Oreochromis niloticus: one gene and its partner. The protein of the gene in region 2 interacts with the protein of the main gene of each other region in a pairwise test. Links are inferred from orthologs where the notes say so. Each region holds a gene or a part of one and is shown on either strand. Other genes may lie near its edges. The genes, in order: foxp1b and zmym2.

The links.
Region 1: the proteins of zmym2 (region 2) and foxp1b come close enough for resonance energy transfer, tested with the Homo sapiens proteins (2 studies listed by BioGRID). The link is inferred for Oreochromis niloticus from reciprocal best matches to the Homo sapiens genes ZMYM2 and FOXP1.

Annotation. Positions count from the first base shown.
Region 1 is NC_031970.2:32,337,359-32,349,880, forward strand, and holds the start of foxp1b (forkhead box protein P1-B), read right to left. Parts: upstream 5,343-12,522; 5' UTR 5,198-5,342; intron 4,806-5,197; exon of another isoform or gene 4,493-4,805; intron 1,151-4,492; 5' UTR 1,075-1,150; intron 1-1,074. UniProt on the Homo sapiens protein: Transcriptional repressor. Can act with CTBP1 to synergistically repress transcription but CTPBP1 is not essential. Plays an important role in the specification and differentiation of lung epithelium.
Region 2 is NC_031987.2:27,443,172-27,455,704, forward strand, and holds the start of zmym2 (zinc finger MYM-type protein 2), read left to right. Parts: upstream 1-6,785; 5' UTR 6,786-7,039; coding exon 7,040-7,258; intron 7,259-12,533. UniProt on the Homo sapiens protein: Involved in the negative regulation of transcription.

The DNA of each region.
Region 1 (12,522 bases), on a different chromosome or scaffold from region 2:
TGAGCTCTGGAATTACAACACAGCTGACCCTTTTATCTCAACAGTAACCATTAGGGATGCACCCAATCACCTTTTTTTCCATTATATCATGTCGTAATTTAACACCATTGGTGGTTAGGTGTAAATAAGATGCATTCCTCACTGTGAGAAACAGAGTGGGACTGTATAAGACAACATTGGTCTCGACTCAGACACTGCTTTCCAAACCTGGTAAAATAAAATGTAACAAATAAATACATCAATTTTACTGACTTTGTATTTTTATGCATAAAGTAGTAAATAAAAATGGGACAAAAACAAATACAAAGTTTAGAAATCGTGTTCATCTTATTCATCTAATTCATTTGCACTAGTTTCCTCTCACCTCAGTGTAAGCAGCTGTTATTTATGGTCATGTATAGTAGTGTAGTTTCACCTTTCCTCCACTCAGTCTGAGTGCACTTTATTTTACTGTTCCTCACACACACACACGCACACATGTTTACAGGGAGTGGAGAGAGGATACGAATGAAGTGAAAAATATTAAAAGAGCTGGCAACAACACTTAATGTTACCACAAGTGCAGTAAACACAAAACATAAAAACAATGAGAGTGAGCAAGAGAAAGAAAGCATCACTGCAGTTTTTCAGTTTCGTCAACTCAGTTGACCACAGTTTGCAGGTTAAGCGATGAAATCTATTGACATAACTAGCATGAAAACCCCCCAAACTGCTGAGATTTTCCTGTTAGCTTCTTCCATGCTCCTTTAGCTCTCTGCTTGCACCTGATTCACTGCTGCTGATATATGGCATAGTAACTTAGATCACATTGCTGTCATTGATGCTTGAGTCAGGTTTCGATGTCAGGATTTTCCTGATATTCTATCCAAACATTAAATCAGTTCATCTGTGATTACTGTTTTATCTTTTTTTCTGTAGTGACAAGCAAAGCAACAAACGTTACGGTCTACATCACTTCACACTGTAAGGAAAAAATACTAATCTGTGAGACGAATCACACAGAGAGAGGCTTCAAATCATAAGTCAGTGCCTACATAAACTATGGAAGTTTTAACAGAGTTGAGAACCACTTACAGTTCTGATGTTACAAACTGTCACGGGTGCCTTTAGATTATTCTCAGAGCTGGCTTCACTTCCTGTCCATGTTGTCCTGGAATGACAAACAGAACAGCATGTTACTATCTAGGGTTATGCCAACATGCCACAACCTGGGGGTCAGTAAACAACCTCTATACACTCAAAACACACACATATGTGGTACATCTTTAGGTAGTGTATAAAACAAATATGCTATTATGTTGTTATTACACTGGCAAATATTAATAATAAACATAAGATAAGATAAGATAACCTTTATTAGTCCCACACGTGGGAAATTTGTTTTATAACATATTTGTATCATAATGTTACACTGATGGTGAGGTCACAGTTACTGAGTAATGTGTGAGTAAATCTGTAAGCAAAACAAACCGGGATGTTGCAGAAATACGGTTCATTGACACAAAAAAGCATGATTAAATTCAGCTGAAAATGTGAGTTAATCTGTGTGAATGATTATCAATACATTTTGGAGAGAAATCCCTAAAAAATGATATTATCAGCCCAACCGTGCCACATCATAAACACACACACACAGACTGGACAGCTGATAGAAACAGGTGCTGAGGTTCAGCCTGGCAGCTGAGCACAGCTTGCAGCATATGTCTGAGCCCCTCATGTCTGGACCAAAATGTTTGTAGCTTACCTGCATCCTTCCCCAAACCTTCTGTGGTGGTGTACTACAGAGGAAATTCTGATTTTTAAGCTACTGCATTGTAAGAGGCTAACTCGACAGGAAAACATGGACTCGTAGGAATAAGAGCACAATGATCATATTAAACTGTTTGGATATTCTTATAAGTCTACCAGCAACAATTCATAACACTGTCTATTCATTTTTTTATAACTAGCTAAATTTGGAATATTTTGATTATTTACTAAAAAGATGTGGATGGGTTCTGCTGCACTTCTAAAAACATCAGTGTCCCTTCTCTTAAACTGTTTGTTCCTGTTTGCTTTCTCTTATGTGATTAAAATAAATACATTTTATTTTGAAATCCAATGTAAAACGGTCATCTCCAACTTCCTGAATTAAACAAGTGGTTTTTTTTTAAAACACCATAGATGATAAAGGAAATATTCTTATATATTTAAACAGCTCAAGCATAATTTATTTCCCAGCAATAAACAGGCTGTGCTCCAATGTTGCACTGTATTCCTGAAACACAACACCAGCAGTAAATTCATTTTGTAACTCAAGTTAATTGATTGTAATTGCATGCTCTCTCTCCTCCCGTGCAGGCAGATGACATTTTTTTGTCAGCATCCCTCCCTTTATTAAGGACAGATGACAGTAGAAGACAGTAATTAATGGCTGCCCAAGTTAATAGCCATCCTGAGCGTTTTGGCAGTCTCCATAGAGACCGAGGAGCTGCGCAGAGCTCACCTGAAGCCGTCCACTCTCTGACCAATCGCCTTTGCTGTCACAGAGAACAGTCTGCCAGGGGCCGCGCCACAGGGGCCGGGACACACTAACCTTTACCCTGGAAATATTGTTCTGCTTCCCTTTGTTATCCATTCATGTAACACAGCACTAATGAGCATGCTACACTCATATTCATATTGCCGGTACTCTTCTCCCCCTTTTGTGGCGCGTGAATCAAACATGCAAAAATCACACAACAAATTCATTTACCAGAAAATTCCCTTTTATTCATCTGTCACTTGTCTTGGTTTGTGGAAAAAAAAAAAAAGGTTTCGAGCAACTGGTTTTGAGGGCGTCTTGTAATCTGCAATCAAATGAGGGGTGAAGCAGGCAAATAAATCTGAAGGAAACAATATAGTGAAAGCAGAATCTTATTCCCACACTGGACCCGAAAATAACTCTCCTTATCATTCAGCTGCGAGCTCGGGTGCACAGTCAGTTTACAGCCCCTCTGTACCCAGCACAGGGTATTTCAATGTGTGTTCACAAATACTGAGCCGTCAGATGAAAGAGAGGGCCGCTCCACTCAGGGATGGGAGTCCTCGCACTGAATGCATGAGTGACTGATTACTTTCTTACCAGTTGAACCTCGGCTCTCTACAAAGAAGAGCCTTACCCCAAGCCTGAAGAGGCCAAACTAGTAACAAGGGCTTTCCAAATAATACAAAATCACAGATTGGTGTGTTAAGCATCTTGCGTCATTACAATGCATACAGCTGCTCTTCCTCAAATTTCAATCTATTTTTTTTAAACCCCCCCCCCCTCGCCAACTCAATTTATTCAGTTTCAGTACGGAGCAGGAAAGTACAGTCTTTCTCGTTTCTAGACGGAGGCGTGGGGGACACACTTAGGTCGTTCCCATCAGAAACAGCAGAAGGTTGAATGTCTGTATGTAATAGCCGTGTCAAACAGCAGGCCCTGGAAAAGTTGCAAAGAAAGTTCATCCTGAGTTTTTTTTTTTTTTTTGGAAACCTGGGTCAGCATTTGCGAAGGTCCATTTCTGCATAAGTGAGCACACAAACCCCAGTGCCTGTTCAAATAGTCTGCAGCTCTCTCTCAGGCAGCTCATGACAACAGCCCAGCAGCAGCACTGTTTGATCTCCAATGTTTTCCTTAATCTGGGTTGTCAAGGTTCGCTTGTTGGAGGCTGTTTACTTTACTTCTCCTACAAAAAAGTGTTTTTTCCCCTCAGACAATGACTAATCCAAAGACCAAGAAGGAGGGAGCACTGCCAGCAATAGTTGTTAAAGCTGCAGTTTCCCTTTAGTAAAATTTCAGATAGTTTTAGTTGCCAGCTGCAATCTTACTGTATGAAACATTAGGGCAAGACTTATTTATATTTATTTACTTTAGTTATTAAAAAAAACTATAATAATTTTTGGCACTATTTTAATTCTGCCTAATATTAAAAATTATCACAGACTGAGTGCATCAGATAATTTGTTTATTAGTTGTCCACTGTTGTATTTGTAAATAGTGCTTATTTGCTTGTAGTACCCCTGTTACAAAATACACATTAAAATAATTTTAAAAAATGTTTTAACGTGTTTGCAATAGGTGAGCTTAAATGCTACAGTGCTGTACAACATTCCTTTGCACAAATAATAATGTTATTGTCTATTAGTTGAAAAAAAAGTTTAATTACACTATTGCAACAACTTGATCTGCAATTATTAAATTAACAAACAAAATAATCTCCATTTTCCGTACAGTGATCGCAGCTCCAGCCAATTTACATTTATGAAAATGTTCAACTGTAACCCACAGCACATCTTATTCAACACAACCATTGTCTCACATCCTGTGCAAACCACTATAAAAGTTGAAAAATATAACGTTCACCACTTTTAAAGTGCTACTTTACGTTACCACAGCCATAATTAGGAATTAACTCCGTAATTCCTTTGTGTTAATGAAACGTTACGAAATGAATATCCGCTTTTACTTGTGTTGGGTACACAGCCTTACCGCTGAGCAGGGAAGCCACACCGAAAGAACACGCTTGAATAACGCAACTGATGGACAGCCAAATAAAAGTAATGATAACTTTCAAAGTTGAGGGCTTGCTACACTTCTGACTTCCTCCGGTCTTTCTGAGTTTGGAGCACAGCTAACACGTGGGGGAAAAGCTCCATCCCTGGTTTCACTCCAAAGAAATCACGGCACTCAAAACTTCCCCTTCACCGTGTAAAGTTGAACAAAAAAAACAACTTTTACAGCGCATCCTTAATAGGTAGCGTGGTAATTACGGTCTGTTAGCGGCCATTGCTAAGCAGCACGTTATAAACATGTAGCATTCATTTTGAAAATACTTTTTTGGACGAGAGGTGCATTTCCCCCCGGGGTCTCACGAGTAGCCTCAACTAAGTTAGAAACCCAACTTTTCCCAAAAAAGAAAAAGAACAAAAAAGCAGAGGATAAATATAGAGTCGTAAAGATATTCTTGTAAAAGCCGCTCGGTACAGCTGCCTTAAAACGGCGCTACCTATCGCCCTACATTATAATAATACAGGTGTTTATTTATTTCGCTATTTGAAACAATTCGGCAAACAGCAAGACAAAACCGAGGCAAACTCGGTGCGAGTATCCGAGTGCAGCTGCAGCAGCCGCAGCAGGTATCTAGACACGAAACAGCAAAGCTAACGTTAACATTAGAATAGTAGTGAAACTTACCAGAACGGAAAAAAAACGCTTTACAGCAGCTAACAGGGCGCACGCGGAGGGTACCGATTCGCTAGTATGAGATAACGAAGCCGTGCACGCGAGCTTGTGTACCGAGAATGCGTGCAACAACAAATCACACAGTAAACAGTGAATATTACTCCGCCCGGGAGGTGGAGGGGGGGAACTAACTAAGTAACTTAAAAGATAATCTTACCGAGGGCGTCGAAATAAAGCGAAATGTGGAGTTTCACACTCGCTGCCTGCCAGTCTGTCTCGCAGGAAAAGGCACGAGCTCCTTGCTTAATGTTCTTATTAGATTTTAACACGCTGTGAAAAGAAGGAGGAAAAAAAAAGGAAGAATCGCTGATTTGGATGTTGTTGTTTTGATCTTCCAAATCCGTGACGTCATATCCACCTGAGGTAAACAACGTTCATTGCATTGCAGATCCTAACATCATAGTCACAAGTACATTTCAGTAGCACTTAGTAGCACTTAGTAGGTCCTTTCTATGGGGAAATGTAATGATATGCATTAGTTTTAGCTGAAAATGTGACAGGAGAGAGGGGGCTGTCAGAAAAGCTAAAATCTCTAAGCTCACTAATTATAACTGAGGCTGAATGAACTTCTGTTATTTCAGAAAAACTCTCCTGTCTTTTTTTTTAATTATTATTTTACTATTATATTTTCTGATCTATGGTTCATCATAACTCTTCCAAAGCCTCACTTAATAAAAAAGACAGAAATGCTTTGACATACTCATCAAAGATGTTTTAATCTCCAGCTTTGAGGAGTTTTAAGCATTGGGGGTGGGGGGTGGGGTAGATATAATGACAGTATAGATAACCAAAGTCCAGGTTCTTGTCAGTATGGGCTGCTTATCATTTTCTAACATGTAAGCTAGCTCCTCTGGATATTTTAAAGGGAATGTCAGCACACCTACATTTCAACAAAGTTGTTTCACTGTTTGGAGTAACTGTTCTGGTTTAAAAGTTTTGCTCACTCTTACACAAAAGCAATTATACAAATGCAACCACAACTCAAATGCCCCGGAGAGGAGACTGGGATGGTTTAAGTGTCCAGTTAACGCTGAGTGTAAGGCAGCATCAATGTGCCCTCAGAAAATACTCTGAATTTCTTTGATTCATTCCTCTTTTTTGGCCTTGATCAATATTAGAGAAGCACAGCTCACTTCACTGTAAAGGACATTGCATTTATCATGGCTGCATCAGAGCAGAGTGCTGCTGATAGACCTCTGATGAGAGACTGTTTCTTAGTAGAGAGCGCCACCCTCTGGTAGCACACTGTCATGAGACGAATTACTCTAATATTTCCACTGAACAAACACTCGCATTTTGAGGTTACTGATATTTGACTTCGTATAATCAACCCCCCTAACAAAACATACACAATTTCATATCCAAAAGCTTCTCTCATATTCATAATCCATTAATATATGCTTTTTTTGTTTTGTTACTTAAGTCTTGGCATAAACTTTGTAAGTTTGAAGCATCCCATTGCACTGGTATTTAAAATAATGAAGCACTTAAACCTTTAATATACTATTACTAATGAAAATAAAACTTTTTATATATGTTTTTTGCCTGGTAAGTTTTCCTGTGATTCACCAACTGGAGTTTGGTGTCTGTCACTGAGCGTAATACATATACTGCTCATTGACTTGGCACCAAACACTGATTATTCCACTTAACACAAATAAAAAAACACTATGTCATGGTCCTAATAATATTTCTGCGCCGCCTGCAGGAGGCTGCTGTCTACAGTTCTGCACCTAAATGTCAGATTTCTTATTTCTTATGTTACTGAGAGACTGTCAGGCAACCTTCTGCCCTACTGCAGTAACCTCTGACACCATCAGCAGTGCACCAAATGTCACAGTGAGCTGACATTGTCCGTGTTACTTCATAGTGACAGTAACAAACAGGAAAATACAGCATTACCAACTACTTCCTGTTGTCTCTTGAAATGCTTCACATAAACTAGGTCTGTAAAGGCTTTAAACATTTAACAAGAAAAACAAACAGGTTTCATTTTTAAAATAAAAGAGTTAAAGAGGGTATAATAAGATCCCAATTATGTGTTTAGTTTTTATTAAATAAACTGCATCAGTAAAGTGTAGAAGTGCAGGTTATAGAAAATAGATGATGTTCTAAAAATGCTTTGTTTACAGTGTATGTATTATAGCACGTAGCTCATGGGTGTTGTCTAAATTTACAGCCCTTCAAGGCCAGAGCACAAGACAGCTGTCCTTTGAGCAATTTATTTCAGTTCATTTCAATTCAATTTCATTTGTATAAAACCAAATCATGAAGGCAGAGACCCTATAATAATAGAGAGAAAACCCCAACAATCAGATGACCCCTATGAGCAAGCAATTGGAAGAATCTCTTTTAAACAGGAAAAAAACAACAGCAGAACTAGGCTCAGGGAAGGCCAACCATCTCCCATGACGGTTGGGAATGAGGGGAAGAAAGCAGGACTAACTACATGATTTATCAAAAAGGAAAGCTTTAAGCCTAATCTTAAAAGTAGAGAGGGTGTCTCCTGAATCCAAACTAGGAGTTGCCGATAGCAGGAGTTATGTGTTTTGCTGTAATGTCGGGACCTTCCTCTAAAACTAAGTGTTCACAACTGAAGAAATAAAAACAATTACATGCAGGCAAATGGCCAAAACAAAGATAAGATTTCACACAAGAGAGTATACGTCTCTGTGGTGCGCTACCTGTTGTAGCCTATAAGCATTCACAGACAGATCAGTCACTTTGGGGCCTAAAATGAAGAGCCTCCTGTGAGCCTACACTGCATTTCAGTTCAAATACTAAACTGTCAGACTCACACTTTGACACCCAAAACATGCACATCTGGCTTTTGAATGTGTCTGCACTCTCGTTGTGATGCAACTACATGATCACCATAAAATTCCTATAGGACTTACACTTTACTCTGAGTTGTATTTTCTACAGCTTTTCATTTGATTAACATAAGGTTGTAAACATGATTGTCTGCTGTAATTAAAGATAAAAATCCAAATGTCTATAAAGTCTTATGGCGTTAATCTAACACACAATCCCAGCTTTCTATTCCTTCACGGGCTTGATCTGCATGTCAATACTGGATCTATGAGCTCAGCGGAGCCCAGCAGCCATGTGCCTGTGTCGGAATTTATTATCCTGTTTTGTTGGTGTCATGCTGGTGATGTGTCGCGCGGATTAAGGCCCCGACTTGATGGAGTGCAGTTACAAATTAATTGAGGATCACTATCAGTTACGTAACAGCCTCTCTACACATACGCGTGCACACAACAAAGTAATTAGCTTTCTGTTAATTAGGTAATTAAGCAAATGAATAGGAGCTCCTCTTGATTTCAAACGGGAGGGGCGGATGGCTTTCATACGGTGTTTTTCCCCTTGCTGCCATGGGCTGTAGCATTGAAAGTGTGATGAAAGGAGGAGGACTTGAGGAGGAAGTGTACAGATAATGACCTATAAAGAACTGTTAAATGAATAAAAGGAAGAAGAAGAAGCAGGGGTTAGGTTACCAAAGACTGCCTCTGAAAATATAAATGGCAAGACTGCACCGGCCTTATGTGTTTCCAAATTTTGTGAGCCAAAAAGTTAGTCAGTAAGATAATGCTCTGTTAAAATGGCATATATATACACATTACATTACTACACATACATATATATATATATATATATATATATATATATATATATATACATATATATATATACATATATATATATATATATATATATATATATGTATATATATATATATATATATATATATATATATATATATATATATACATACATATATATATATATATATATATGAAATGTAGTTTTTGGGACATTTTTTGCATCCTTTACTCAAGGAAAGCTGTAGTAGGGTTAGTTGATTAATGTTTTATAGCTTATAGATAAGTTCCTATGATGCTGCTAAAACATCCGTCTAACGGTGGTCTGTGATTTGAGGACACTGGCAGTGGATCTTTTGAGTCCTGTGGGATGTGCTGGTGTCCATCTATAGATCAGGCTTGTTGTTGGGCATTCTGTGGATGCTAAATCATATTAGGATATGGGAAGTTTGGACGTTGTAATGTGCATTTCCAGTTTATCTTGCTGGGGGAGGCTGCTGCTGTAGTGAGGTCTACAGAGCTAAGCATTTTTACCATCAGCATGTTTTTTGTTTTAAATCAGACATAATGACCAGTGACTGGATCTGTCTGAGAAACCCAGGTACACACTCATACATCTACAACAGGGAGTTCTCTTGGCTTTACCTACTAAGCTAAAGCCCTGTCAGAATCGTAGGTGTTCAGTTTGGTTCAGCTTTCAGCTTTGAACCAGATGTCAGTAAAACATACAGTTCTGCTTTATCCACACCTGGAGAAAGTTGTCTGTGCAATTATTGTCTCAAGGCTTGACTATTGCAATGCCATTCCCTCTGGTATAAATAGGAAGTTGCTCTCCATTTCAGAATCCAGCAGCTCGGCTTTTTACTAGAATTAGCAGACAGCATCACGTTATCCCCATCCTGACCTTTTCCTGTTGGTTTTCGGTACGATTTGGAAACGACTTTAGGATTTTACTGATTACGTTTAAAGTGAAGTCTACGTGCAAAACGAGCCAGCTCAAATCCTTCGATCCTCAGGTGCAAGTTGAGACTTAAAACTCTAAAGATTAAAATTCTTTTGCTATCAGGGCTCCTTCACTTTGGGATGACCTTCTGAGGAGATAAAGTTACCAACCAGCAACCAGCTTGAAAATCACATGTTAAAACACATTTTTCTAGGCATGTATTTCTTTGATTCCATTACACGTGATGCCTTTTTTCCTTCGAGCTGTTTAGCCATCTTGCTTTCTGTTTAAATCTGACCTTTGAGTATTCATTTTCTGCCTGTCTATCAAAGCACTTTGTATTTTTTTTTACGGTGCTGTATTAACAATGCATAGTTTTCTTTACTTTATTGGGCACCATATTTTACAAAGTGAAGATGATGATGCATTAAGTAAGACTATATACAAGTGACTGAAAACATAAACACATCAGGAAACTGTTTACTGAAACCACACATTATGAGAGGGAAGTTTCCCCCCAGACTTCCCTTTAAAACGCTTCCTCTTTTTGCAAGTGTGAGTCACCGCCTGCTGGTCATTTAAAAGAATGCAGATTTAAGGCACTGCACAGGCTTCAGTTTTAACCATTCATAGTTATGTGTCGTCTTGACACATCTTACCATGTTGTACTTGAACTCTATTTAAATTCTATTTAAACTGTTAAAGCTAACCTAAACAATGTTGCATTTGGAATATACATCCACCCTTTAAGAAATGTTCATATACAGTCCATATTAATTGGAAACATATCACACGTCTTTGCCAAACACATGCAATCATGAACCCACAAAAGCTTCCTTTCAGCTCTTTTAATGCCAGTGTGATAACAAAGACATTTGGTGTCACTGTTACCAGAGGAACTGCTAACAAGCAGTCTTCTTGTCAGTAATTCACATTTTAGCAGGAAAATAACAACACTTATTATACACTCTCCAGTCACTTTCTTAGGTATACTAGTTTAACTCTTTAATGCAAATGTCTAATGAGCCAATCACATGGCATCAACTCAATGCATTTAACCATGTTGGCATGGTCAAGATCCAAAACGAGAAGAAAGGTGAGTTGAGTGATTTTGAACAAAGCATGGTTGTTGGTGCCAGACGGGCTGATCCGAGAATTACTGATCGACTGGGGTTTTCCAGTTTGTGGGTATTTTGATACGAAGGCAACAGTAGGGCAAAATAATTTGTTATAGACCAAGGTATGCAGAAAAGCATCTCTGATTATATAAAACATTGTACCCTAAAACAGATGGGCTGCAGCAGCCGAAGAGCAGACGATGTAACAGTCCTGTCAGGAAACTGAGCCTACAGTTTACACAAGCTCACCAAAATTGGACAATAGCAGACTGGAAAAATATTGCATGATCTGATGAGTCTCAATTTCTGCTGTGCCATGTGCACGTTTACAATTTGATGTAAACGGCGTGAGAGCATGGATCCATCCTGCCTTGTATAACTAATTCAGGTTTGTGGTGGTGGTGTAACGGTGTGTGTGTGTGTGTGTGGGGGGGGGGAAATCTTCTTGGCACACTTTAGGGACCTTAGTACCAACTGAGCATTGTTGCTGACCATGTCCACCCCTTTATGTCCACACTGTGCCCATGGCCAGCTACAAACAACTGTATAAACCATTTCAACTGGCTGCTCATAACAGGCACGATCAGTAGGAAAACAGAAAGCATGTAACTTAACTAAATCTAGGAATGGATCTGTGCACGGCCAGGAGCTGCACAAGGGATATTTACATCATATCTTGGGTATTAGACATGTTCAGAGCCCCAAAGTCCTAATTTCACAGTCACTCGCTCCAGCTTCTTGTACAGTGCTCACTAAAGACAGGAGAAATGTTGCAGTGTTTATTGCCAAAACATTTCATACATGTATTTAGACTGAGGGGTCAGTGAACTTACAAGGAACTTTGCAGCAACTACTTGTGTTGTGAATGAGGTCATTTTAGATGGGTTGAGCCTTTCTGGTCTCTGAGAAAGTTTACTGAAAGCTACACGAGGTATGTTATACAGATTATATGTGGTAATGAGAATATCCTCTGCATCCTTTAGCCTCTTGTGATTTTGAGGCCTGCATCTTATTTCCAAACAGCAACAGCAAGTTGTTCTCTTCAGACGAAACTTTCACATCTAATTTAATCCCAGTATTAATGCTATCAGTAGCAAACTTGCTTCATGGAAGGTCCAAAAATTCATGACTGAAAAGCTGAGGTTATCAGTCATGTAATCACCATCAGTGAGTATTTAAAATCAGGTCTTACGATTACAAGGTGTGTCAGGACTAAAATCAATGCGCTGCCAGAATGAATTAGCACAAAGTGGCTGAGGATATGCAGAAGCTTTTAATACACCGAGACATTCCCCATGAAATAACATTAATTTCCTTTAACGGGCCTGTTATTGATGTTTGTATTGTGCAAAATGAAACGCCAGTGATAAGCACTTCATTTCTGGCTCCATTTTATTTACTTTGCCCGTATCGCTGCAAAATATGTTTACAAAGGACAAATTCTCCTCTCGTATCCATCAACCCGTCCAAAGTTGAACTATAAAAGTGGTGCTGACATACCAGAAGCATTTCAGTTACTGAAGCCCTTCACTGCAATAAAACCACGGCACGGGAACAGGGTTAGTGAAGGAAACTGATGAGACTCAGAAAAGGTTTGTGACAAAAAAAATA
Region 2 (12,533 bases):
TTTCAGTCTCTAGATGTGCAAAGCTGGTAGAAACATGCCCTAAAAGACTGGCAGCTGTAATTGCAGCAAAAGGTGGTTCTACAAAGTATTGACTCAGGGGGCTGAATAATTACGCACACCCCACTTTTCAGTTATTTATTTGTAAAAAAATGTTTGGAATCATGTATGATTTTCGTTCCACTTCTCACGTGTACACCACTTTGTATTGGTCTTTCACGTGGAATTCCAATAACATTGATTCATGTTTGTGGCTGTAATGTGACAAAATGTGGAAAAGTTCAAGGGGGCCAAATACTTTTGGAAGCCACTGTACAGACAGACATTCACTCTCACATTCACACCTATGGGCAATTCAGATTAGCCAATTAACCCATCCCCACTAACTGCATGTAGCAACAGTACTAATCACCGTGCCAACAGTTACCTGAATGGTCCTGAATGGTCCATTCAGGTCCAACCGGAATGGACCATTTGATTTTTGTGTGTGTGTGTGTGTTGTTTTTTTTTTTTTTTTTTTTTTAATAATCATGTGTTTTAAAAACCGGTACAACACAGTAGCTCAGATGTATTTAAGTTTATATGGTTAAATACTTTAATGTTCTGGTGGGGATGATAAGATTGGAAAGTCGCTAAACAATAACAGGCATCTCACAGAGTAAATGATAAGATAAGATAAGATAAGATGGCCTTTATTAGTCCCACAGGTGGGAAATTTGTTTTGTTACAGCAAAAGTGCAAAGTTATGTAGCAGAAATTAGAAAACACTGGAATGCAATAAAATACAATAAAATAAAATAAAATACTATATACAATAGAATAAAATAGAATAGAATAATATATACAATAGAATAAAATAGAATAGAATAATATATACAATAGAAGCTTTAAAATAGAATAGAATAATATATACAATAGAATAAAATAGAATAGAATAATATATACAATAGAATAAAATAGAAATACAAATACTATATACAACTGAGTAGGAAAATACAAACACAACTTCGTCAGAAGAAGAATTGCACATATAGCAGTCTTATTGCACATGTGTGGGTTTGTGTGTTTGATCAGCTGCAAAAGTCTTTATTGTAGAGTCTGACAGCAGTGGGGAGGAAAGACCTGCGAAATCTCTCCGTCCCACACCGTGGGTGCCGCAGTCTCCCACTGAAGGAGCTGCTCAGTGCTGTCACAGTCTCATGCATGGGGTGGGAGATGTTGTCCAACAGGGATGACAGCTTAGCCACCATTCTCCTGTCACTCACCACCTCCACTGGGTCCAGAGGGCATCCTAGAACAGAGCTGGCCCTTCGGATCAGCCTGTTCAGTCTCTTCCTGTCCCCAGCAGAGATGCTGCCCCCCCAGCAGACCACACCATAAAAGATGGCTGAGGCCACCACAGAGTCATAGAAGGTCTTCAGGAGTGGGCCCTCCACTCCAAACGACCTGAGTCTCCGAAGCAGGTACAGCCTGCTCTGCCCTTTCCTGTAGAGGGCGTCTGAGTTATGAGTCCAGTCCAGTTTGTTGTTCAGATGAACACCAAGGTACCTGTAGCTGTCCACAGCCTCAATGTCCATACCTTGGATGTTCAGTGGTTGCAGTGGAGGATGTTTGTGCCTGCGGAAGTCTACCACCAGCTCCTTGGTTTTACTGGCGTTGATCTGGAGGTAGTTCAGCTGGCACCAGTCCACAAAGTCTTGAGTCAGTCCTCTGTACTCCTTGTCGTCCCCATCAGTGATGAGGCCGACTATTGCAGAGTCATCAGAGAACTTCTGCAGGAAGCACTGGGTGGAGTTGTGGGAGAAGTCTGCAGTGTAGATGGTGAAGAGGAACGGAGCCAGAACCGTTCCCTGTGGGGCCCCCGTACTGCAGACGACCCTGTCCGACACACAGCCCTGAGTCCTCACATACTGTGGTCGGTCGGTGAGGTAGTCCAAAATCCAGGTAGTGAGGTGATGGTCCACTCCAGAGTTCTCCAGCTTGTCCTTCAGAACCGAGGGAAGAATAGTGTTGAAGGCACTGGAGAAATCAAAGAACGTGATTCTCACAGTGCTCCCAGCGGTCTCCAGGTGAGCGAGGGAACGATGTAGGAGGTGAATGATGGCATCATCCGCTCCAATGCCAGGCTGGTAGGCAAACTGAAGTGGGTCCAGTGATGAGCTCACAAGGCGCCGAAGCTGAGCCAGGACCAGCCGCTCCAGGGTCTTCATCAGGTGGGATGTCAGAGCCACCGGCCTGTAGCTGTTGAGGTCCTTGGGGCGTGAAGTCTTTGGCACTGGAACAACACAGGAAGTTTTCCAGAGCTGTGGGACTCTTCCCAGCCTCAGGCTCAGGTTGAAGAGGTGCTCCATCACACCACACAGTTGGTCCGCGCAGGACCTGACGACCCTCGAGCTGATGCCATCTGGACCCGCTGCCTTCTTGGCTTTAATCCTCCTCAGTTCCCTCCGAACCTGGGTGGTTGAGAGAGACAGGCTGGAGCCTTGTGTTGAGTGTGTATTGGATGCTGTTGTTGGGGGTGGGGAGGAGTGAGCAGGGTGAATAGAGGAGGTGTGAAGTGTCTGAGGTGTCAGAGGTGGAACAGCAGCAGTGGGGGTGGGTGAGTCTGCAGCCGATGTTGGAGACTGCCTCATGGCTGAATCAAATCTGTTGAAGAAATGATTCAGTTCATTTGCCCACCTCACATCCCTCCCAGGCAGAGAGTTCTGATGTTTGTGGCCTGAGATGGTTCTGAGGCCTCTCCAGACTTCACCAACATTGTTTTGCTGAAGCTGGTTCTCCATCTTCTGCCTGTAGCTGTCCTTCCCATTCCTTATCAGTCCCCTAAGCTCTCTCTGCACCCTTTTCAACTCCTCTTTGTCTCTGGATTTGAAGGCCCTCCTCTTCTGCTTGAGGACAGCTTTAATTTCTGAAGTAATCCAGGGTTTGTTGTTGGAGAAACACCGTACAGTCCTGGTAGGTACGGTGTTATCCACACAGAAATTAATATAGTCAGTAATGCATGTAGTAAGGCTGTCGATGTCCTCACCGTGGTCGTCACAGATCACCTCCCACACAGTCGACTCAAAACAATCCTTAAGAGCCTCCTCGCTCTCCTCCGACCATCTCTGCACTGTGCGGGTGGCTGGTGGCTCCCTGCGCACTAAGGGCTCATACACAGGGACAAGGTGCACCAGGTTGTGATCAGATCTGCCTAGGGGAGGGAGAGGTGATGAACTGTATGCCTCTTCAGCATTGGCATACAGTAAGTCCAGTGTTTTATTGTCTCTGGTTGGGCAGGTCACATACTGGGTGAAGGTGGGCAGTGTGGAGTCCAGTGAGGCATGATTGAAGTCCCCTGATATTATGAGAAGGGCTCTCGGAGATTGTGTTTGCAGTCTGCTGACCACAGAGTGGAGAGAGTCACAGGCTGCATCCGCGTTGGCCGAGGGGGGGACATACGCTGTTATCGATGGTGATGGCATGTATAAACAGAGCATACTAGTCAAGCTGAGTGTTTCAGAGGTCATGATGGCGAGGGGTTCACTGCTCAGTCAGAGAATTCTTGGAAAACTAGGCAGGCTTTCGAGCAGCAGTTTAAAAACAGACTTAATTCTGTTGCAGAAATCACAGCAGGGGCTCAGCTACACTTGTGAAAAGGATCATCATTGACCACAGTTCATCCCCAACCCACAGTGCAAACTGGGGGGAAAAAATAACATTTAAACAAAAATCCACTAATACCACAGGCTGGACCCAAGATCACTAATCAAGGAGGTTTATTACTGCACATATAACTTGTACACCCATGATCATCACTATCATATGAACATGCTTTAAAGCAAAATATCCAACATCTGTTTCAAACAGTGTCTTGCATCTTTAAGCAAGACCATGCCAAACCACCAGCAGCATGTATCACAGCAGCATGATGGATTTTACTTCTCTGGGAAGCTATTTGAGTGAATCCATATGAGAAGGAAGGACCAACAACACTGCACGCTTATGAAAGAGATTTCAAGCCAAGAGCCCTGGAAAAAGACATGGAGCTTTTTTTTAAATTTGCACTTTTTAAAATAAAGATGTTTTAAGGAGGGAGTTTGCTACCAGTTGTTGTTAATTAATGCAGTTTTTACGAAATGTGTTCATAAGTAGTGGAGCAGTAGAGACATAAAATCCTACAGCTAAAATGCAGCATGTATTCACACTGTACAACAAAGTTTAACTTCCAAACCGATGGTTTCCAATCACACCACTAACAAAGTTGTCAGCGTCATTTCCTCTGTGTGTTAGTGGTAATAAACTGCTGGTTGGTCAGTGTAACTCAGGGCAAAAAAAAACAACAACAAAAAAACGCACAATTGTTTATTAAAACCGCGTGAGTTACAGAGAGGCTGATTACATAAACACTGTGAGTTCACAAAGCCTGTGTGGCACATCATCTTCGATCTTTATCGAGGATCGTATTTAAAAAGAGATCATTTCAGTGTGATTTGCGCCTGTGAGAAACTGAAATCTCCGACATTTTGTGCAGCGGCGCACAGACAGAGGATCTGGCAACCAGACACTCAGCCTCATCAAACTGACTTAGAAATAAATCCGTGTATCTTCCATCCATTTCTACCCCTCATCTCGTGAGTTCAGAGATAGCCTGCGCGTAAGGAGGGTAAGGAGGTGGCGGTCCTTTTGTAATTTTTCTCTTTGATCTCTTTGGGCAGCCGACCCTTTAGTGAATCTGATCTGCACGTTTCAGTGTGACATTTGAACGCACCTGATCCGCCATATTTAACAAACGTGATCACCGGCTCATTCCACCTTTGAGCCACCCCGATTTTTTTTTAAAAAGTAATAACAAAATTACTACTAAACTATAGATTACCCACCTTTACATGTAATAATTTGCACATCTGCCTACTATAATCAGTAGTTACTTAAAGTAGTGTCATTTGATTTGGGCTTAATTTTGCTTTGTAAAGGTGTGTGCGGCATTTTTCTAACACTCTCTGGTGGGCGTCATTAATTTCCCGCCGCCGTTTGGTTTCTGGTGAGTCTCTGGGTGAAATTATGAGAGGAAACCCATGTTGAGCCGACACAGCTGAGAACATGAACTCTCTCAACCCGGATCCTTGCTCCTGATTGGATCCGAGCTGTGTACTTCAATGCGGCTTGTTTAAGCTTTGAGAAAGGGGACCCCCGAAAAAAAAAAAAATCAAGAATAACTAAGGTGCATTTCTAGCAGAACTGGCCACACTTGACCTGGGATACATGATATCCTTCGAGGATAAGGTGCGAGCATCTTAATGGATTTTTAATTGCTTCCAATGCAGCCACTGATTGGACCTCCTGCGCCTGCGCAGGAGGAAAAGAAAAGAGGGTGAATCCTAAAAGAGCTCTCACTCCGTATTTACTTCCGGTTACAATGAAAATAAGAGGAAGTAGTTGTTTTGGGGTTTTTTTAGGAAGTTTGAGCTCGCGGTGTATCATTTTTATTTCAGCCGTTAATTTCTGCTCAACTGTGTTTTAGATATCGGAGACTAACATCACTATAAAACTTAATACGTAATAACTGTTAATAGTGAAAATTACAGACTCAGGCCGATTAAATATAAGATTTATAATTACATAAACGGCTAGCTGTGAAGGTTAACAGCGGGGCAAAAACTAAGGGGTGATTATGGAATTTATACTCTTATTTGAGGTTTTACCAGCAATTGTTTACTTGTAGTTTCAGTTTATGCCCATTTTCAGTGTTGAAAATGTGCCAAACAAAAAATCGTTTGGCCGTTTTAAACTGCTTTCCTCAAGTATGTTAACATCCTGAGGTTTACATTTCATAACAGCTTACATATTCTGTTCAAAATTGAAGGATGCCCCAAACAGCCTATTGCTACATCACAATTAACTATGGTGGAAGGACATTCTTTAGTAAAGATGAAAAAACAAACAAAAAACAACAGCATTATAATAGCCAACATTTGGCTGTATACCCTCCCTCACATTTATCATGAGTCCACAGAGTAACAATTACTGACTTAATAAAACCACTCCTCTGAATCCCCTCTCACCGAGAACAGTGAATAGATATGTTGCAGGTAGACACAAACCATAAATGAGTTCTCAGAAATCCTGTTTTTGTACGTGAGTGAACGTGCCGATGACGCGTAGTGAGTGCTCTGCTCAGTAGATGATCTTGGATATAAACTTGTGCGCACGCGCTTCCGCGGATTAATGTCAAGGCACAAAAGTGGCGCTACACCGTTTTGAGCTCTACTCCGGTAAGCGAATTTCACAGCCGTTTTTTGTATTCTACTTTTACGCCTAATTGGCCAAAGTTTCGGGAACTTGTGCGGGGGGGTTAGCCGGATGCCCAGGGAGTTTCTCGGTACTCACACTGGGGCGTGAAGACTCATTAAGGGATGAATAAACAGTTAATTTGAACAGATTTGGTCCTCTCCGTCTCTGCGTGCTGTAGCTACTGCCGCCTCTAGTCTTCAGTATTGTTCAGTTGGCTAATGGCGGACGGCAGGCAGTGCTGTTTTCCGCTGGGGAGGAGGGAGGTGTGTGTGTGGTGGGGGGTGGGGACAGAATTGCTCCGGTTGTTATAGTAATGGGTTCATACCTAGTTACAGTTTAGGCAACTCACAGGATGCTCACTTAAAACACGGTAAGGGAATTTCTCTGGGTCTTGTTGTTTACCACCGCATGACACAAATGAAGCCAGTTCATGTGATATATGAGAGTAGGGCGCCCCTTGCGGTTGCCGAGTATATTTTGCCAGTGATTGCGCCAGGGTGGACTCCGCGTAGGGTAACTTTCCAATTAAAACCCCCATCGTCACAGGTATCGCAGAAATCGGGTTTTTTATTCGAAACCCGGGTCTGTTTCGCTGGCACGGACATGTGTGCGCCTATAGAGCAGATAATCTGGACAAGAACAGGGGTTGTGGAAGGGGGGAAACACGTTTTTTTTCCCTTTTTTTTTTAGGTGTTGGGGACTGTGCTTGTCAGTGGCACACTGCATTAGCCTATCTTGAGAAACATTTGCTTCTATTTTAATCTGTTTTATGCGAGTAAATTGCGATGATTTTTGTTGGTATTTTAACAATGGCGCAGTCTGTGTCTGCTCTCCTCCCCTCGATCTGCCGCTAATCCAATGGCTGTTTGCGGCAGGGGAGGGAGCGGAACGGAACACCCTGAACCACGTTTCTCCTGGACCCCAACTTGGAAGCCAGTCTAGCCTCTCCTTTTTCCCGGGTTATTTATGGAAGAGCTGCGCAGCTCAGGTAGTGCTGGTTCCGTTTATTCTCACTGATCAAAGTTTTGGACCTGCTTTTTATTGCCAAGTTTGTTAAATATCAATGCCGGGGAAGAGAAATGGAAGCTAGATCGGGGTCGAGTGATAGTCACCGTTGTAGCCGGGGGCATGGGCCGGATTTGGTGCTGTGGTGGTCCTTCCAAGCGGTGTTGATAATCAAGGGCACGACCAGTGGGACTCCGGCGGCCCCCGAAGGCTTCGTACAGCCTGTCCTTCATTGGGTGTTTTCTAATAATTCACAGGAGGTCTCCTCAGCTATGTATAGCAGGGTTTAGTTTTGCGTTCAGGTAACCGGAATGGGCCATTTGATTTTGGGGTTTTTTTTTTTTTGATTTTTTTTTAGCCCATCAGCTGGCTTGGGGATGCTCTGATGGCTGCGCATTACGCATCACTTCTCAGTGACATAAGTCTTATATAATAATCCCAGGCGTTTAATTTGAATATTTTATTAATCGGCTGTTGTCTGCACAAATACTGGCGCAAACAGCTTTCACATCTCCACCTTGTGACCTGCTGGGGGGAGAGAGGGGGGAAAAAAATGTCAACTTCTGTGGCTTCATGCGCAAACTGATGCAGTTGGAAAGGTAGATGAGCACCTCTGTGAGGTGGTGATGTGGCGCAGGCGTTGATTTAAACTGCTAGTCTTGTTGAGGTGTGTGTGTGTTGCATGGAGGCAGGCTCGGCCACAGCGCCATCCCACCTCTCCGTCCACCTGGTGTTGACGTTGGGAGTCAAGGTTGCATGTCAGAGCTCATTAATGCTGGGTCCTCGTTTTCATCTCATCCACGTGAATGCAGGCTGTCTCGTAGCTCTGCATTGCAGTCTGAACTGAGTCTAGACCAGGCTATTTTTTCCCCCCCTCAGAGCACTATTGAGTTGCTTTGCACATAGATTCCTCTGTTGGTGGAATATCAGGCCAGAAAAGCATGAAGCATCTATCTGCAGCACAGCTTTGCTTTGCTTTTGGGAGGTCTTGCAAATGGGGAATGGGTGCCTTTGGGTCTCCTGGCTAGTATTTGGACTCCAGTTAACACCATGGTTACGGACATATGTTATTACCTTAGCACAAGTTGTGTTTGTAGAGGTTAGCTTGGGTTATAGCTTCTAAAGGAAGAACCTAATTATAGTAAGTCAGTGACTTGGAATTCAATCCTTCTTTTGAACAGTCAAGCATATTGTATTGATCTTGAATGTCATTCTGTTTTGCCTTGTACTTCCTGTCACATGGTCACAGCAAGTAAGTGTTCCTTATTCGGCACTAGTGCTCTACAGTGGAGCAGCTCTTTATTAGCAGCAAACATATACAGCTCTGATATAATGACTCTGCTGAGTTTGCAGCAGTGGCTTTTAACAATGTGAACTCCTATATTTCTCTACCAAGCATACAGTTATCAGAGAGTCTTTGTACCTTGATAGAAAGTATAGGACAGATATGCAGCCCGTTTTTGCATATTGAAATTTTTTTCTTCGTCTTTTTTCTGCTTGGAAAACACTTGCAATGAAGAAGTACAATTTAAATAAGCATGAGATCACTTTAGTCATTTGTAAAGCAAAATGGCAGCCTGGCTGGACAAAACGGGGCATTTGAAAGCATCAGAGCAGACTGTGAGAATTTGTAGCGGGAATATATTTTGTCACTTTTTAGTTTTTATGAAGAAATTTGGCGAAATAATTTGTTTTTGTTTTTTTTTTCTGCTAATCTGCTTAAAAATCTTGGAAAGACATGGGATGGGGTCAGTCTTTGTTAATTATCCTGCAGCCGATTTCCTGAATTAGTTGGAAACTTAATGTGAGCGCACTGCTTGACTCCACATCACGACCATGTGTCTCACGTGCTGCATATGGTGCTAAGAGAATTGAAAACGATAGTTAAAAAACTTTATTTGAAAATCAGGTCAAACATTTTTAATTTCAGCACCAATATACTGTTGAGTCCCTTAATATTTGACCAAATTTAATAATTCAACTTTCATAGAGCTGTGTTGTCAACGTAAAATGTGGTAGAGGCAGGGTATTGTATGAGCATGCATGGCTCCCAAAAGCAATGGGTGACTAGTCTTTCCTTACAATGTGACAGAAGCCTGACACATTTTCTCTGGCTCAAATGTAAGTGGAAAATTGAACATAATCCCAGAGATGGGTTTCATGTTTGATACTTTGAGAATCCTTTGCAGGGAGAAACCACCTGAAATCTGGAACCATCACCAAACAAGGAGTTTCCTCCTCTGTCATGGCCTTTGCTGCAGCTGTATTGAGTTCCTGTTTGTTCATAGGGCTTTCTGCCTTTAGTTTTGTCTACAGCAAGTGAAGTACAGCTTGATTGGGTTGACATCAGGTGAATGAATTGGTTATTACAGAATATTCCACATGAATAACTCCAGTTTTCTTAGTATGTCTTGGGTCATTGGAGATTGTTACTGTGAAGCACTATCCATCAACTTTACTGAATTTGGCTGAATCTGAGCAGCACTGTATCCCAGTAAACGTCATCTGGCTGCTTCTGTGTTCTGTCACATTTTCAGGGAAGACTGGTCACCCATTGCTACTGAAAGCCGTGCATGCTCTTACATTACACTGCCTCCTCCATTTTTCACTTCAGATTGTCGTCTGTTCCGTGGCTTCTCGCTACTTTTATCTGCCATCATTCTAGTACAGGTTGATCTTAATTTCATCGATCTGTTCTTGAGTCTGGTCACTGGTTTGGTGACCCTTGTCATATGTTCTTGGTCAGAAATCACATTGTCTTCCAGCCTTTGTCACCTTTGCATTTGTGCATCTATTAGTGGGCTTCTTATTGATCATAAGCTTTTCTGGGCCTAAACTACAGCCACCTTCAGTAGCTTCGGTTATTTTGGCCTTCCTCAAATAATTTTCATCTTCAATATGTTAACAGCCGGCTGAGACGGGTAAAAGCCAGAGGACTAACTCATTTGAGAAAATTGTACATCTTTGTCTTATGCAGCTCTTGGATCCTTCTTGTATATTTTGTGTCATCGTACTTCTTTATTGTGATTCTTTGTCCAATCAGTTTTGCAGCATTTGATCAATTGTTTAACTCATTGACTCGTCTGCTAATTGGGCCTCTGGAAGCAGCAGCCAATCTTTGGGGGAGGGGGGCTTCTGGTGTAGCCAGCTAATACCCAGTACCAGGGGTTCCTACGTTCACTACAAATGGATATCAGAAAGCTTTAAACACCCAGCAGTCCTCTTCCCTTTCCTACTTTTTCTGCACATGAATTCAACCAAATGCAAATCTTATTACAGAGATTAGCATTTGGTTCAAATGGAGCAGGCTATAGCATTGTACACTGTTACTTCTATCAGTAGTCACATCATCAATAAGAACTGGTGACCCGGTTCCATTCGTGACATACATGCCCAAACGCTATAATTGGAATTCTACAAATTTACACTGCCGAACAGCCTCTTGAGTAATGCCAGCTAACCAGATAGCAAGTAGGGCTGCAGTGATTCGTCAGCATAATCGCTGACTTTTATTGTCAATGCGTCATATACTAATACCACGTAAATGCGTTTTTGTAACTGCAATACACTACAGGAACATATGGGGGCGGTATCACCTCTATTGTCTGTCGAGACTGGAGTCAGAACTAATGAAGAAGAATGTAGTGTGACCCACAAAACAGGAGGATGGAAGAAAATGGAAACAGATTTTATTTTATTTTTTTTAAAAGTCAAAGCATTTCAAAGAAAACAGAGTTGAATGCAGATTGTGGAAAGCAGAGCTTTCCTTCCACAACAGCATTAATGCAGCGCACAAGCATTTAAAACGCCGGCACCCTAGAGCTGTGACGTCAGCTCTGAATGGGCCAGTTTTAGAGAGTTAAGTCATCGCGCTGCATTGATACCTTGTTTATGTTAATGTCTGAATAGTAATATTTATGTTTGTAAAGTAATGTTTATGTTAGCTTGCCTGTTGAAAACCTCTCAGGATGAATCTTGCTAAGCAAACACCTTTTTAGTTTTGTTAACTAATGAGTCAAATGCAATATCAAACCATTAAGCAGGAGTAGCTAAACTGCCTCCTAGTTTTTATATATTTCTATATAAAATATATAACCAAATTTGTAATTAGTAACGGTCTTTTCTAATTCTATTTTGTTCTGTTTTACTAGTATTAAGCACAGGTGTATAGATGAGTTTGTCCTGTAAAGAGGCCCATGCACCTTTCGAATGGCTAAAGTCATGACAGAGTCATCTTTAGCATGGTTATCAGCAGCTGGGAACATCATCTCACGGATAAGAGAAAGCCTTACTCCAGAGGATGTTCACTGCAATCATGAATTCATGAACTGAATCATCTGTAAACTTTGGAAACTTATTTTGGAATGGAAAATAAAATCTTTTTTATTTAATTTGAAGCTTTACTTCAACTTATGGGCAGAAGCCTTTTTTAGTTTCCTATTTGAAATTTTCTTTATTTTAAGTACTACTAACACTTGAATTTATCTAACTTAATATTTCTTATTTATTTAATTTTTATTCTGATGGTTTGAGTAATATTAAACATACATTTTGATTATTTTCAAATTCATGTTTCCTGGGTCATTATTTTAATTTCCTGTGGGATGAGACTACATGGTGATATTCACAGGTGGGCAGACTTGAGCAGGTGAGGCACTGGAGCCTAGAATAGGAGGTTTGCCCACAGGAAGCAGAGATGAGTTATTGAAGTAGTTATTGACTAATTGAGGTAAAATTGGCAGAATAGTCAACTACCAAAATAATCTTTAGTTGCAGCCCAGTAGCACGACAGCCTTTTAACGGCTGGGATAAGCTCCATCGCTGCAATACATATAAGAACAAAAAAAGCACCAGAAGCACTCTTGCCAATCAGAAGTCTGCAGTTTGGAAGTTGTTTAGTTTTGCTTTTGTCGGTCTCTTGGGTGGGACATAACTCCAGCCACAAACTTTGGAAGATATGTCCAAATGGAGTGCTTTACTTCACAGCTGTCCTGTGGGAACATTAAAGCCAAGGAGCTGGTATGTTGACTGGAAAAACTGTGTCAAAAGTGACACAAGTAGCCTGAAAACATAACATGTTAAAGCGTTAATGACTCTACTCCTGTGCCAAACACTTATTTAAAGGGTGGTTTCTCTTAACAAATCCGGAGTTTGTAAGTTTTGTTGCTTTGTTATATTGTTTTATTTATTTAATTATGTTTTTTCTTCCTAATGTTCTGTCCACTAATGAAAATTCACGAATGTTGTCTGCGGTGGCC